Linked DNA regions of Anolis sagrei. The protein of the gene in region 1 interacts with the protein of each later gene in a pairwise test. Links are inferred from orthologs where the notes say so. Each region holds a gene or a part of one and is shown on either strand. Other genes may lie near its edges.

The links.
Region 2: the proteins of CREB5 (region 1) and FOSL1 interact in binary tests that used the Homo sapiens proteins (3 or more experiments, as listed by UniProt). The two-hybrid records come from large-scale screens. The link is inferred for Anolis sagrei from reciprocal best matches to the Homo sapiens genes CREB5 and FOSL1.

Annotation. Positions count from the first base shown.
Region 1 is NC_090026.1:90,392,594-90,400,966, forward strand, and holds the start of CREB5 (cyclic AMP-responsive element-binding protein 5), read right to left. Parts: upstream 3,356-8,373; 5' UTR 3,268-3,355; intron 3,137-3,267; exon of another isoform or gene 3,051-3,136; intron 725-3,050; exon of another isoform or gene 406-724; intron 1-405. UniProt on the Homo sapiens protein: Binds to the cAMP response element and activates transcription.
Region 2 is NC_090032.1:9,501,363-9,509,434, forward strand, and holds the start of FOSL1 (fos-related antigen 1), read right to left. Parts: upstream 3,465-8,072; 5' UTR 3,353-3,464; coding exon 3,296-3,352; intron 1-3,295.

The sequences.
Region 1 (8,373 bases):
GTTTTGACTAACCAGGAAACGAAGGAAGGAAGGAAGGAAGTAAAGAAGAGTGAAGAAAGAAAGAAGGAAAGGGAGGGAGGAAGGGAAAGAAGAGAGAGCTAGGAAAGAAAGCTATCACCGGCATGGTACAATGTCTTCCAACAGTTTTAACTAACCAGGAAAGGAAGGAAGGAAGGAATGAAAGAGTGAGGAAGGAAGGAAGGAAGGAAGGAAGGAAGGAAGGAAGGAAGGAAGGAAGAGCTAGGAAAGAAAGAGTGAGGAAGGGAAGAGGGAAAGAGTGGAGAAGGAAGGAAGGGAGTCCAAGGAAACTCCGTTTCGCGAGCACTGCAACTTGACTGTAGCGACTTCAGAAACTTTTCCTCATCCCGTCGCTGGCGCACCGGAGAAACTTCCAGCGTCGCTTACCTGCTCCCTTGGTGCAACAGCGCCGGATTGGGAGGAAGGGAAGAAACGCCTGCCTTTGCTGCCGGGAAGTTGTCGAGAGGCGATCGGGACGCAGGACCCAGCAGGTATTCCCCCGCCCACGCGCCCAGGCTCTCCCGCGGGAGAAAGCGGCGTGGAGCGGGGAGATCTCCCTCCCTCCCTCCCTCCTTCCCAGCCAAGGACCCAGCCGGGGTTGGCCTTGGTCTCGGCCCAGGTAAGCCCTGCTTGGGCTCAGCCTCCCCGGCTGCCTCGTTCCCCGTGAGCCCCGGTCTTCGGCGCCTCTGAATCAGCCCCGGACTCTCCCGCTCGCCTGCAGCATGACGTCATGGCCCAGGCTCCCAAAGATAATGTCAGACTGGGCGGGGGCGACCCGGTCCCGGGGGGAGGGGAGGGGAGGGGAGGGGGGGCAGGAGGAGCAGAGCCAGGCAACCGCCTAGCAACCAAATAGATAGATCGACAACAGCGCCGGGGTTTGACAGCCCAAGGGGGTGGACCGCAGTCGAAAAGTTTGAGTCCCAAAGAAGATCGGGTCAAGCTATAACTCTTATGATTCCATAGCATTGATATCAAGCATGGGCAAACTTGGGACCTTCAGGTGTTTTGGACTTCAACTCCCATCATTCCTAACAGCCTCAGGCCCCTTCCTTTTCCCCCTCAGCCGCTTAAGCGGCTGAGGGGGAAAAGGAAGGGGCCTGAGGCTGTTAGGAATGATGGGAGTTGAAGTCCAAAACACCTGAAGGTCCCAAGTTTGCCCATGCCTAGGCTAGATGCACCCAAATGTATTGTCGAAGGCTTTCGTGGCCGGAATCACTAGTTTGTTGTGACTTTTCCGGGCTGTATGGCCACGTCCAAGAAGCATTCTCTCCTGACCTTTCGCCTGCATCAATGGCAGGCATCCTCAAAGAGTTGTAGATTTTTCGGAACTCGCAACCTCTGTGGATGCCTGCCATAAATGTAGGCGAAACGCCAGGAAATAATGCTTCTGGAGCATGGCCATATAGCTCAAAAAACCTACAACAACCCAGTGATTCCAGCCATGGAAGCCTTCGACAGTACATCCTCAAAGACCTCACAACCCCTGAGGATGCCTGCCACAGATGCAGGCGAAACGTCAGGAGAGTGTGCTTATGAAACATAGCCATACAGCCCTGGAAACTCACAACAAAACAGTGATTCCGGCCACGAAAGCTTCGACAATACATTTGGATGCATCTAGGCCAGGCATGGGCAAGCTTGGGCCTTTCAGGTGTTTTGGACTTCAACTCCCATCATGCACCCCAAATGTTGACCACTCTCTTTGCCTTAAAGGGGGGAGGGGCAAGTCAAGGTTAGGTCTAATGTATTGTCGAAGGCTTTCATGGCCGGGATCACTAGGTTGTTGTAAGTTTTTCGGGCAGTATGGCCATGTTCTAGGAGCATTCTCTCCTGACGTTTCGCCTGCATCTGTGGCAGGCATCCTCAGAGGTTGTGAAGTCTGCCATCGATGCAGGCGAAACGTCAGGAGAGAATGCTTCCGGAACACAACCATACAGCCCGGGAAACTCACAATAAGTCATGCACCCCAAATATTGACAGCTCTCTTTGCCTTAAAAGGGGGGGGGGGGCAAGCCTAGGTTACGGCTAATGTATTGTCGAAGGCTTTGGTGGCCGGAATCACTGGGTTGTTGTAGGTTTTTCGGGCTATATGGCGATGTTGTAGAAGCATTCTCTTCTGAGGTTTCGCCTGCATCTGTGTTAGGCATTCTCAGAGGTTGTGAGGTCTTTGAGGATGCCTGCCATCGATGCAGGAGAAACGTCAGGAGAGAATGCTTCTAGAACACAACCATATAGCCCGAAAAAGCTACAACCTAGGTTAGGTCTCCCGAAAGAAGGCGACAAGCGATGCAAGGAGAGAAGGCTGTATCTGAGCGTATACAGAGCGCCTTCGCCAACTAGAAGGGGAAGAGGCTCAGGCCATTGCGAGGTCTTTGAGGGTGCCTGCCATCGATGCAGGCGAAACGTCAGGAGAGAATGCTTCTAGAGCATGGCCATATAGCCCGAAAAACCTACAGCAACCTAGGTTAGGTCTCCCGAAATAAGACGACAAGCGATGGCAAGGCGAGAAGACAGTTCCTGAGCGCATACAGAGTGCCTTCGCCAACTAAAGCAGCCTTTAGAAGGGGAAGGGGCTCAGGCCATTGCGAGGTCTTTGAGGGTGCCTGCCATCGATGCAGGCGAAACGTCAGGAGAGAATGCTTCTAGAACACGGCCATATAATCAGAAAAACCTACAACAACTTAGGTTGGGTCTCCCGAAACAAGGCGGCAAGAGACGCCAAGTCGAGTAAACTGTTCCTGAGCGTATACAGAGCGCCTTCTCCAACTAAAGCAGCCTTTAGAAGGGGAAGGGGCTCAGCCCACGCGTGGGGTCTTCCTGGTGCTTTTTTTGGCGCCTCCAAACTTTCAGGCCAGGTTGATGGGACTCCAAAGGGTTTGATTCCCATGGAATGACACTTGGGGGGGGGGGGGAGCTTTGGCCGCATCTTCCCCTTTCCCAGATCTTCCCAAAGCGGCAAACCCTCCAACCCATCGCCTTGAAACACGCGCGAGAAACAACACGAAAGGAAATAAAAGCTCCCTTTACTCTACTTTGGCCTCTTTCTCCGCTCAGCGTTTGTCCTTCTCCCTTCCTTCCCTGTCGCTGAATAAAGTAAAAAAAACAAAAAAGTCCAACTCTTCCAATCTTTCTTTCTGCAAAAGCCACAACTTCAGGAGTTTTCAAAACATTCCAGGGTTCGGGGAGAAAAAGGAAGAAAGGCAAGAAAGCACCCAGCCGGGAGCGCTTTGGGTCTTTTTCGGGACTTACCCAACAAGTGCAAGGCGAAGGGACCAACAGCCCGAGCGGAGGAACCACGTTGGACTGCGCGAAGGTTACAATACGATCTATTTAGAGAAGCATTACATCACCCCTCCGTGACGTCACGTGGGATTCCTGAACTTCTAAATCATTGCGGTCCCGGCTTGGAGGGAAGGGGGCGGGGCGGGGGCGGGGATGTGGGCGGGGCTTCGGAGAGGATCGGCCACGCCCACCGGCTTTCCATAACAAGGCAAAGAGAGGAGGAGGAGGAGGAGGAGGGCTGAGTCGGAAAGGGGAAGCGGCGCAAGCAAGAGCTTGCCGCCTGGCTGGGGATGGGTGACAGCCTGGACGCGCTGCCATTCGCCCTGTGAGTCATCTTGGAAACTATCTCCCAGCTTGATGGGTTTGGAGGGAAGGAAGCTGGAAACAGGCTGGAGGGGAAAGGGAGTCTGTCCCACTTCATAGAATCATAGAATCAAAGAGTTGGAAGAGACCTCATGGGCCATCCAGTCCAACCCCCTGCCAAGAAGCAGGAATATTGCATTCAAATCACCCCTGACAAATGGCCATCCAGCCTCTGCTTAAAAGCTTCCAAAGAAGGAGCCTCCACCACACTCCGGGGCAGAGAGTTCCACTGCTGAACGGCTCTCACAGTCAGGAAGTTCTTTCTAATGTTCAGATGGAATCTCCTCTCTTGTAGTTTGAAGCCATTGTTCCGCGTCCTAGTCTCCAAGGAAGCAGAAAACAAGCTTGCTCCCTCCTCCCTGTGGCTTCCTCTCACATATTTATACATGGCTATCATATCTCCTCTCAGCCTTCTCTTCTTCAGGCTAAACATGCCCAGTTCCCTAAGCCGCTCCTCATAGGGCTTGTTCTCCAGACCCTTGATCATTTTAGTCGCCCTCCTCTGGACACATTCCAGCTTGTCAATATCTCTCTTGAATTGTGGTGCCCAGAATTGGACACAGTATTCCAGATGTGGTCTGAACTTGCCCGGTTCAGTTCTCAGAGGGTGCATCTACACCAGTGATTCTCAACCTCCCTAATGCCGCCACCCCTTCATGCAGTTCCTCATGTTGTGGTGACCACCAAGCATAACATTGTTTTTGTTGCCATCTTCTATCTATCTATATAAATAAAAGTGTAATGTTCGTTTGTGGGATTAACAGAACTCAAAAACCACTGGACGAATTGACACCGAATTTGGACAGCATATACCTAACAACCCAATGTTTGTTCTTCACTCAAAAAGTTTTGATTTTGTCATTTGGGAATTGTAGTTGCTGGGATTTATAGTTCACCTACAGTCAAAGAGCATCCTGAACCCCACCAACGATGGAATTGAACCAAACTTGGCACATAGGACTCCCACAGCCAACAGGAAATTCTGGAAGGGTTTGGTGGGCATTGAGTTTGGGAGCTGAAGTTCACCTACATCTGGAGAGCACTGTGGACTCAAACAATGATGGATCTAGACCAAACTTGGCACAAGCACTCAATATGCTCAAATATGAACACAGATGGTGTTTGGGGAAAATAGACCTTGACATTTGGGATTTGTACTTACTGGGATTTATAGTTCACCTACAATCAAAGAGCATCCTGAACCCCACCAATGATGGAATTGAACCAAACTTGGCACATAGGACTCCCACAGCCAACAGGAAATTCTGGAAGGATTTGGTGGGCATTGAGTTTGGGAGTTGTAGTTCACCTACATCTGGAGAGCACTGTGGACTCAAACAATGATGGATCTGGACCAAACTCTACACAAATACTCAATATGCCCAAATGTGAACACTGTTGGAGTTTGGGGAAAATATGTAGAATCTTGACATTTGGTAGTGGTAGTTGCTGGGATTTATAGTTCACCTACAATCACAGAGCATTCTGAACCACACCAACGATAGAATTGGGCCAAACCTCCCACACAGAACCCCCATGTGGGCCACAGCAACGTGTGGCAGAGGACAGCTAATCTTCTATATAAATAAAATGTAATGTTCATTTGTGGGATTAACAGAACTCAAAAACCACTGGATGAATTGACACCAAATTTGGACACAATACACCTATCAGGCCAACTAGTGACCATCATTCATAAAACACTGAAAAACACAGTGGAAGGGACTTAAAAAGCCAAAAAACAACAAAAAAATTATAACACATGCACAAAACCATACACATATACAAATATACACAAATATATACACACATATACACAGACTGGGCCACAGCAAAGCATGGCAGGGGATGGCTAGCCTATATAAATAAAAATGTAAGGTTCGTTTGTGGGATTAACATAACTCAAAAACTACTGTATGAATTGGCACCAAATTTGGACACAATACACCTATCAGGCCATCAAGTGACCTGCCTTGATATTCTGGGTTATATGGCTGTGCAGAAGGGCCCTAAGAAGGCTCCTTCCACATAGCTGAATAAAATCCCACATGATCTGCTTTGAACTGGAATATATAGCAGTATGGACTCAAATAACCCAGTTCAAAGCAGATATTGTGGGAAGTTCTGCCTTGATATTCTGTGTTATATTGCTGTGTGGAAGGGCACTACAGCTGGATCTGCCCTATATCTCAGGATTTGATCCCAGAATATGTGGACTCATATAATCCAGTCCAAAACAGATAATCTTGGATCAAATCCTGGGATATAGGGCAGTGTAGATCCAGCCCTAGTCACCATCACCAGTCGCGCCCGTTATCACTGAATTCATCATCCAAAGGCAGGCATCTGGAAGTGAACTTTGGAAGACAACCTCAATGAAGGATGCCCAGCCAGAAAGGCTATTAAATTTTAAAACCAACATATTGAATTGTACCGTGATGTACTGTGATGTGGACTGGGATCCAGTTCAGCTGCTTACAAACATGTCTCTTTCTGGAAGTGATGAGTAGGTTGACAATTCAACTTCTACACAGGGAAGGAAATTGCTCTTGCCATTCCTTGTGAGTCTCCCAGCCTGGCCTCTCTCTTCGGGGAGCAATCCAGTGTGTGCCACACAGCGAATCAGATGAAATAGTTGCTCTCAAGGGTGGTAAAGCAAAAAAGTGTTGAATTAAAATAAAACTGCCTGGTGTAGGCTGCTGGAAAGGGAAAGTAACTTGTCCTTTTCCTCAGCAAAATGGGCCCACCCTGAAAGAAACTAGAAGACAGAGAAATAGTAAATTTCTATTTTTTTCCCCCTCTGTAGGCCCCTCTGACATACAGGAATGTAACAGATGCAACAGTAGCATGAAAAACCACCTGTCACTTCATTCTGCAAAATGTACTTGAGGTGCAGGGCTTCTGAAAGAAGGAAAAGTGGGTGTTGCACTCCCTCACTCTTTAGGTTTCGAATGCTTTTACATCATATTAATCCTGTGGTTGGTTTCAATGTGACTACCTTTTGAAAAGTTCTTTTAAATTTGTTCATCTGTGCTTGAGGTCATTTGCTTTTTTTAGCCAAACTTGGTGTTAATAGGTGCTGTTAGCCAGTTTTGGATTCTTCATTGGGACGAAAGTACAATATATTCCCATGTATATGCTGGCCATATGTATAAGTCATGAGTAGGCTTTGGGACCAAAATAATTGATTTTTATTCATTCAACGGAAAGGGGAAAGTTTCAATGCTGCCTCCTGGGGGCTGACCATCCTTGGCCATCATTTTTCTGCTCAGTCATTCATAAATACCAAAATTGTTTCTATATCAGAGAGAATAGATAGAGTCGGTGCTTCTGTTAGATTCTCCCAGAATGGACTAAAGCTCTTGCTTTTAACCACTCTAGTCAGAGAAGGGGATGTTGTCTTTAATGACAACAATGGCCAAAACACATTTTGGCGCTCAAATGTTCATTCTGTTTGTGGGTATATTTGACCTGCTGATTCCCCCTGTCGATGCTTCAGTTCCAATTTTTGAGAGACAGAACAGATGGCATCTACCAGTTGACATTTACTATATAAAACCATGATAAACAAATCTGAGAAGCTAGAGCTGATGTGTTCTATCCAATGTAGTTTTCTTAATCAGCACTCCAAATAATTCCAGGAACAGACTTAAAAACCAAGGTAAAGGGTAAAGGTTGGTGCTCATCTTCATTTCTAAGCCAAAGAGCCGACATTGTCCGTAGACTTCTCCAAGGTCATGTGGCCAGCATGACTGCATGGAGCGCCATTACTTTCCCACTGGGAACAGTACCTATTGATCTACTCACATTTGCATGTTTTCAAACTGCTAGGTTGGCAGAAACTGGGGCTAACAGCGGGAGCTCACGCTGCTCCCTGGATTTGGACATGTGACCTTTTGGTCAGCAAGTTCAGCAGCTCAGTGCTTTAACCCACTGCGCCACCGGGGGCTCCTAATTTACCCATGTAATGGAAGACTACTAATCACTAATTGAGCACAGAACCAAATGCAGTAAAGCAAGTTAATGCATTTAAATTCAACCCAATTAAAAACCAAGATACCAAGAATTATTTTTTTCATTGGGCTGTGTAAGAATTAAGGTAGTACTTACATGGAACCATAGATAAGTTGGCCTGGTTTGAATTTTAGCTTAAATTTCTAGACTTATACATGAGTACATACTGTTAGTAACAGTAAGTAAGTATATAGTTCCTCAACTAATTTGGAGCCAGTGTGATGTAGTTGTTTGAGTGTTGGACTACAACTCTAGAGACAAGGTTTGAATCTCCGCTCGGCATTGGAAACCCACTATATGGCTATCAGTCTCCTCCCAGCAGACTCAAATCAAGGAAAAGTTTCATAAGAACCACCACTCCTCTTAACGTTCCCCCAGCAACAGCAAGAGTATCCCTGTGGGCAGCAAAAATCAGGCAATTCCAACTGGATGCCTCCCATGAGGGTCTTCTTCCAGGGCAAACCAAGAATGAGAAACTTGGAAGTCCTTGAACAGACTCAAAACAAAAGACAACCTAGCAAAATGGCACTACCTAGAAGAATCCTCCACCTTGTGCAACTGTGGAGCAGAACAAACAACTCAGCATCTGTATGCTTGCCCACACTACCCTGCCTCATGCACAGAGGAAGAACTGTTTAAAGCTACAGACAATGCAGTTGCTGTTGCCTGTTTTTGGTCTAAACCTATCTAGCAGCT
Region 2 (8,072 bases), on another chromosome or scaffold:
AGAGAGGAGATTCCATCTGAACATGAGGAAGAATTTCCTGACTGTAAGAGCCATTCAGCAGTGGAACTCTCTGCCCCGGAGTGTGGTGGAGGCTCCTTCTTTGGAAGCTTTGAAACAGAGGCTGGATGGCCATCTGTCAGGGGTGATTTGAATGCAATATTCCTGCTTCTTGGCAGAATGGGGTTGGACTGGATGGCCCATGAGGTCTCTTCCAACTCTTTGATTCTATGATTCTATGAGGGCCAGCTAACACCTCCCAACAAAGCATTCCCTCCAGGCAGGTAGAAGCCAGGCTTTGAAGCTGCAAGGCCATTCAATGCTAATCAAGCTGGCCAATGGCAATATTCACACTTGCCTCCAACAGACAAGAGTTCTTTCTTCCACCCTGGGCATTATTTCACAGATATATAAACTCCACTTTCCTACTTTCCAACAGACCTCACAACCTCTGACGATGCCTGCCAGAGATGTGGGCGAAACATCAGGAGAGAATGCTTCTGGAACACAGCCTGGAAAACTCACAGCAACCCGATGCCGTTAATATTGAATTATGTTTTTTTAAAAAATTGGTTTAATCGTAAACCGCTTTGAGTTTCTTTTTTAGAGAGAAAAAAATGGGTAATAAATAAATAAATAATAAACAGGTTTTACCATCCTGTGGGAGGTTTTGCTCATGTCCCTGCATAAGAAGCTGGAGCTGACAGATGGAAGCTCACCTCGCTTCCCGGATCTGAGCTGCCAAGCTTTCAGTCCACAGACTTGCCGGCACAAGGTTAGGGTCGCTGGGGGCTCTTTCTTTCTATGGTGATGATAATAATAATAATAATAATAATAATAATAATCCTGTTGTATTCCACCTTGAGTCACAGTATTAGTATTAATATCAATTACTCTCCTCTTCTTGTGGCTTGAGGTGGGATACAACAGGAGTAAACAGCATCTCTCTCTATGATAACAATAATAATAATAATAATAATAATAATAATAATAATAATCCTGGGTTGTTGTAGGTTTTTTCGGGCTATATGGCCAAGGTCTGGAGGCATTCTCTCCTGACGTTTCGCCTGCATCTATGGCAAGCATCCTCAGAGGTAGTGAGGTCTGTTGGAACTAGGAAAATGGGTTTATATATCTGTGGAATGACCCGGGTGGGACAAAGGACTCTTGTCTGTTGGAGCTAGGTGTGAATGTTTCAACTGACCACCTTGATTAGCATATAATGGCCTGGCAGTGCCTGGAGCAAACTTTTGTTGAGAGGTGATTAGGTGTCCTTGTTTGTTTCCTCTCTGTTGTTGTGCTGTTGGAAACTAAACAAGTCTGTGGAATAATGTCCAGGGTGGAAGAAAGAACTCTTGTTCTTTCACTACCTCTGAGGATGCTTGCCATAGATGCAGGCGAAACGTCAGGAGAGAATGCCTCTAAACCATGGCCATATAGCCCAAAAAAACCCACAAGAACCTATATTATGTATATTTTATACTTAATTTTATATTATCTATATATCATTTTTATATATAATTTTTATATATTAGATTATATTATATATTTTATATTTAATTTTATGTAATATATATATAATATAAAATTAAATATAAAATAATTTTTATATATTATATTATATATTTTCTATTTAATTTTATATTATCTATATATAATTTTATATATAATTTTATATATTATATTATATATTTTATATTTAATTTTATATATTATATATATTATGTATATTTTCTACTTAATTTTATATTTATATATAATTAATATATATATTTTATAATATATTATATATTTTATATTTAATTTTATATATATTATATATATATATATCATAGGGAATCATAGAATCATAGAATCAAAGGGTTGGAAGAGACCTCATGGGCCATCCAGTCCAACCCCATTCTGCCAAGAAGCAGGGATATTGCATTCAAATCACCCCTGACAGATGGCCATCCAGCCTCTGCTTAAAAGCTTCCAAAGAAGGAGCCTCCACCACACTCCGAGGCAGAGAGTTCCACTGCTGAACGGCTCTCACAGTCAGGAAGTTCTTCCTCATATATATATTATGTATATTTTATACTTAAATCTATATATAATATATATATTACTTGATAAGGCCAATTGGCTAATCAATAAAATTGTTGTTATTATGTATATTTTATATTTAATTTTATATATTATATATATTATATTTAATTTTATATTATCTATTTTATATATTATATTATATATTTTGTATTTAATTTTATATTATCTATATTATATTTTATATTTTATATTTAATTTTATATATTATATATATTTTGTATATTTTATATTTAATTTTATATTATCTATATTATCTATATCATATTATATTTTATATTTATATTTAATTTTATATCATTATATATATATAATATTTAATATTATATATTATATATATAATATTTAATTTTATATTATCTATATTATATTTTGTATTTAATTTTATATATTATCTATATTATATATATTATGTATATTTTATATTTAATTTTATATTATCTATATTATCTATATTATATTATTTTTATATTTTATATTTAATTTTATATTATCTATATTTTATATTTAATTTTATATATTATATTTTATATTTTGTATTTAATTTTATATTATCTATATTATATATATATATAATATTATATTTTATATTTAATTTTATATTATCTATATTATATTTTATATTTTATATTTAATTTTATATATTATATATAATATTATATTTTATAATTAATTTTATATTATCTATATTATATATAGACAATATAAAATTATCATATTCTTATATATAATATTGTATTGTATTATGATGCCACAATAGAATACACTCCCAACATATTATACTATTGGTATTATTATATTATATTATATTATTATAATATTATATTATATTATATATTATGTATTATATTATGATGATGATGATTGTACTATCTCATAAGATGTGAGAGAAATGAGAGAACATAGACATGATAGAAAGAGATGGTAGAGGCATCCCAAAGGGCAGACCTTGAGAGTACAGTTGTGTAGTGAAAGAGATCCCCTTGCATCATGCCATTGAATAGAATGGGACTTGAGCACCCGCGGATATGGGGGACCTGGGACCCAACCACCGCGGATACCGAGCCCCACACCCTCCTTCCCTCTCCCTGGATCTGGGGAAAAGGTGAGCCAAGCCTTACCAGGGAGAGCCACGTGGGGGGAGAGTTTTGGGGGGATAGGAGAGGAGAACCCCAGATGGAGAGAGCTCTGGGGCATGTGCAGAGTGCCTTACCTGCTGCTGCTGCTGTGATCCTGGCCGAGGGGCTCCCCTTCCGAAACCCTTGAACATCTCAGCCTTGCCAATGAGGCTCTCACGCTCCCAAAGAGCTCTTCTAGTCCCCTTGACTGCTTTTTTTATGAATGGGGACTCCCGGACCACGTTACTCTCACTCACTTTGGGGGTGGCCGAGATGGGAGAGAAACCAAAACAGCCATTCAGGCTTTCTGGCTTGGGGTTCCCAGCCTCGTTTGTGGGAAAGGGAGAGACCCCGTCCCTGAATGCCCACTCCCTGTCCAAAAGGATCCCTCTCCGATCCACAAATGAGGATCCCCTGAGCGGCGGTTCCCCCCATTGCCGAGAGCCGCTTGGTTCGTTCCAAAAGGTGACTCAGGGGGCGGTGACGTAGATGCCCTTACATGGCCTTGGTTTCTTCCTGTTGGGCTGGCCTGGGAAAGGGTTCCCCTTTGGGCAGGTTTCCCACCTGCGCCTTTGATTGGAAAATAGGTTTCGCTTCACAAGCCTCCTTCCAAGAGGCAGTGGGCGCAATTAATTAATTAATTAATTAATTATTGCAAGTAGACTCTCAGTTAACCGGCATCCAAGCAATGAGCTATACAGGTCAGTAACCTACTCTGTTATGTCTGCTTATGCTATTGAATCAATGGTAGTATAATATATATTTGTGTGCATATGTGTATGTGTATGTATATATGTATGTATGTATATAATTATATACAATCATATATATATTATGTATATTATATATTATGTGTATGTATATCTATATATTATAATATTATACATTATATATATAATATTATATATTATGTATATTATATATTATGTGTATGTATATCTATATATTATAATATTATACATTATATATATAATATTATATATTATGTATATTATATATTATGTGTATGTATATCTATGGACTGACCTTGAAGGAGCTGGGGGTGGTGACGGCCGACAGGGAGCTCTGGCGTGGGCTGGTCCATGAGGTCACGAAGAGTCGGAGACGACTGAACGAATGAACAACAACATGTATATCTATATATTATAATATTATACATTATATATACAATATTATATATTATGTATATTATATATTATGTGTATGTATGTCTATATATATTATATTATATATATTATGTGTATGTATGTCTATATATTATAATATTATACATTATATATACTAATATATTATATATATTACATATTATGTGTATGTATGTCTATATATATTATATTATATATATTATGTGTATGTATGTCTATATATTATATTATATATATTATGTGTATGTATGTCTATATATTATAATATTATACATTATATATACTATATTATATATTATGTATATTATATATTATGTGTATGTATGTCTATATATATTATATTATATATATTATGTGTATGTATGTCTATATATTATAATATTATACATTATATATACTATATTATATATACTATGTATATTATATATTATGTGTATGTATGTCTATATATTATATTATATATATTATGTGTATGTATGTCTATATATTATAATATTATACATTATATATACTATATTATATATACTATGTATATTATATATTATGTGTATGTATGTCTATATATATTATATTATATATTACATATACAATATTATATATAATGTATACTATATATATTACATGTATGTATGTCTATATATAAATCATAATATTATATATAATATATACAATATTTTATATATATATATATATATATAATGTGTAGGTATGTCTATATATATATTATAATATTATGATGTAATGCAATATAATACAAATACTAATAATATGATATTATAATTATCATAGTAATATTAGTAATATTACTAATATGACAATATAATGGTATAGTACAATATAGTAATATTTAATACTGATATTGTACTATGCTAATAATATAATATATTCTATTTATATATATCTTGTAAGCTCTGAGTTCCCTTAATGTCGTGAATAAATAAATCATATATATATATATATATATATACACACACACTCTCTCTCTCTCTCACACACACACACACACACACACAAATTATGAAAATAGACCTAACATATTAGACTCTCAGTTAACTGGCACTCATGGGTTTTGGGAGATGCTGGATAAATGCCATTTCTGGTTGCTTGAGAGTTACTATAAAATGGCCCTAATATCACAGACTCCCAGTTAACCGGCACCCATGGGTTTTGGTAGATGCTGGATAAATGTCATTTCTGGTTATTTGAGAGTTACTATGAAAAATAGACTTAACAGACTCTCAGTTAACCAGCACCTATGGGTTTTGGTAGATGCTGGGTAAATGTCTTTTCTGGTTACTTGAGAGTTACTATGAAATATAGACTTAAAATACTCTCAGTTAACCAGCACCTATGGGTTTTGGTAGATGCTGGATAAATGTCATTTCTGGTTACTTGAAAGTTACTATGAAAATAGACCTAACATATTAGACTCTCAGTTAACTGGCGCCCATGGGTTTTGGCAAATGCCAGATAAATGTCATTTCTGGTTGCTTGAGAGTTGGTATAAACATGGACTGAACATAAAGACTCTCAGTTAACTGGCACCCCATGGGTTTTGGTAGATGCTGGGTAAATGTCTTTTCTGGTTACTTGAGAGTTACTATGAAATATAGACTTAAAATACTCTCAGTTAACCAGCACCTATGGGTTTTGGTAGATGCTGGATAAATGTCATTTCTGGTTACTTGAAAGTTACTATGAAAATAGACCTAACATATTAGACTCTCAGTTAACTGGCGCCCATGGGTTTTGGCAAATGCCAGATAAATGTCATTTCTGGTTGCTTGAGAGTTGGTATAAACATGGACTGAACATAAAGACTCTCAGTTAACTGGCACCCCATGGGTTTTGGTAGATGCTGGGTAAATGTCTTTTCTGGTTACTTGAGAGTTACTATGAAATATAGACTTAAAATACTCTCAGTTAACCAGCACCTATGGGTTTTGGTAGATGCTGGATAAATGTCATTTCTGGTTACTTGAAAGTTACTATGAAAATAGACCTAACATATTAGACTCTCAGTTAACTGGCGCCCATGGGTTTTGGGAAATGCCAGATAAATGTCATTTCTGGTTGCTTGAGAGTTACTATAAAATGGATCTAATATTGCAGACTCCCAGTTAACCGGCACCCATGGGTTTTGGTAGATGCCAGATAAATGTCTTTTCTGGTTGCTTGAGAGTTGCTATGAAAAGTAGGCCAAATCCCCAGTTACTCCATGCCGAGAGACACGTGTTCGTCCTGCCGGCCTGATCCAGATGGCATTCAGGAGGGTGACTCACAAACTCGTGGGCCGGCAAGGCAGGGAAATCCCCTATTTTCCCCCTTTGGAGCCCAACCAAGGCGGGGAAACCTCGACCGTGAAACTCACTCTCACCCAGGGAAGCCAGCATCGAACTGCATCAACTAGTCAGTGCAGAAAGAGTGCATCTGTACGATGAATGCAGTTTGACTGAGCATGTACAGAGTGACGAGAGCCATGTTTAAATATTAGGAAGGATATTTCATTGAGCATTGAGGTTAATCAGAGGCTGCGTGGCCATCTGTCGGGAGGGCTTTGATGATGTCTTTCTTCCTAGACTGGATGGCCCTTGGGGTCTCTTCCAACTCTAATATTCTATTGTCATCATATTTGATCATAATTATAATTATGGAGTATCATCTGGAGGTTATTCAGCAGAGGCTGGATGGCCATCTGTTGGGAGGGCTTTGACGGTGTCTTTCTTCCTGGACTGGATGGCCCTTGGAGTCTCTCCCAGCTCTAATATTCTATCATCATCATATTTGATCATAATTATAATTATGGAGTAGCATTTGGAGGTTATTCAGCAGAGGCTGGATGGCCATCTGTCGGGAGGGCTTTGATTGTGTCTTTCTTCCTAGACTGGATGGCCCTTGGAGTCTCTTCCAATTCTAGTATTCTATCATCATCATCATCATCATCATCATCATCATCATCATCGTATTTAATCATAATTATAATGATGGAGTCTCCTCTGGAGGTTTTTCAGCACAGGCTGGATGGCCATCTGTCAAGAGGGCTTTGAGTGTGTCTTCCTTTCTGTACTGGATGACCCTTGGGGTCTCTTCCAACTCTAGTATTCTATCATTATTATCATCATCATCATCATCATCATCATTATCATTGTATTTTATTATAATTATAATGATGGAGTCTCCTCTGGAGGTTATTCAGCAGAGGCTGGATGGCCATCTGTTGGGAGGGCTTTGATGGTGTCTTTCTTCCTGAACTGGATGGCCCTTGGGGTCTTTTCCAACTCTAGTATTGTATCATCATCGTATTTTGTCATAATTATAATGATGAAGTCTCCTCTGGAGGTTATTCAGCAGAGGCTGCATGGACATCTGTCAAGAGGGCTTTGAGTGTGTCTTCCTTCCTGGTAGAAGGGAGTTGAACTGGATGGCCCTTAAGATCTCTTCTGTCTTTACGATTCTTTCATAATAATCTTTGACGATGATGGAATCTGCCTCTCTGGAGGTTTTTCAGCAGAGGGTGATTGGCCATCTGTCAGGAGAGCTTTTATTGTGTCTTCCTTCCTGGAAGAATTGGGTTCGAACTGGATGGCTCTTGGAATTTCTTCCATCTTTGTGATTCTTTCATAATAATCTTTGATGATGGGACCTCCTTCTCTGGAGGTTTTGAAGCAGAGGCTGGATGGCCATCTGTTGGGAGGGCTCTGATTGTGTCTTCTGGTCTCGCAGAATG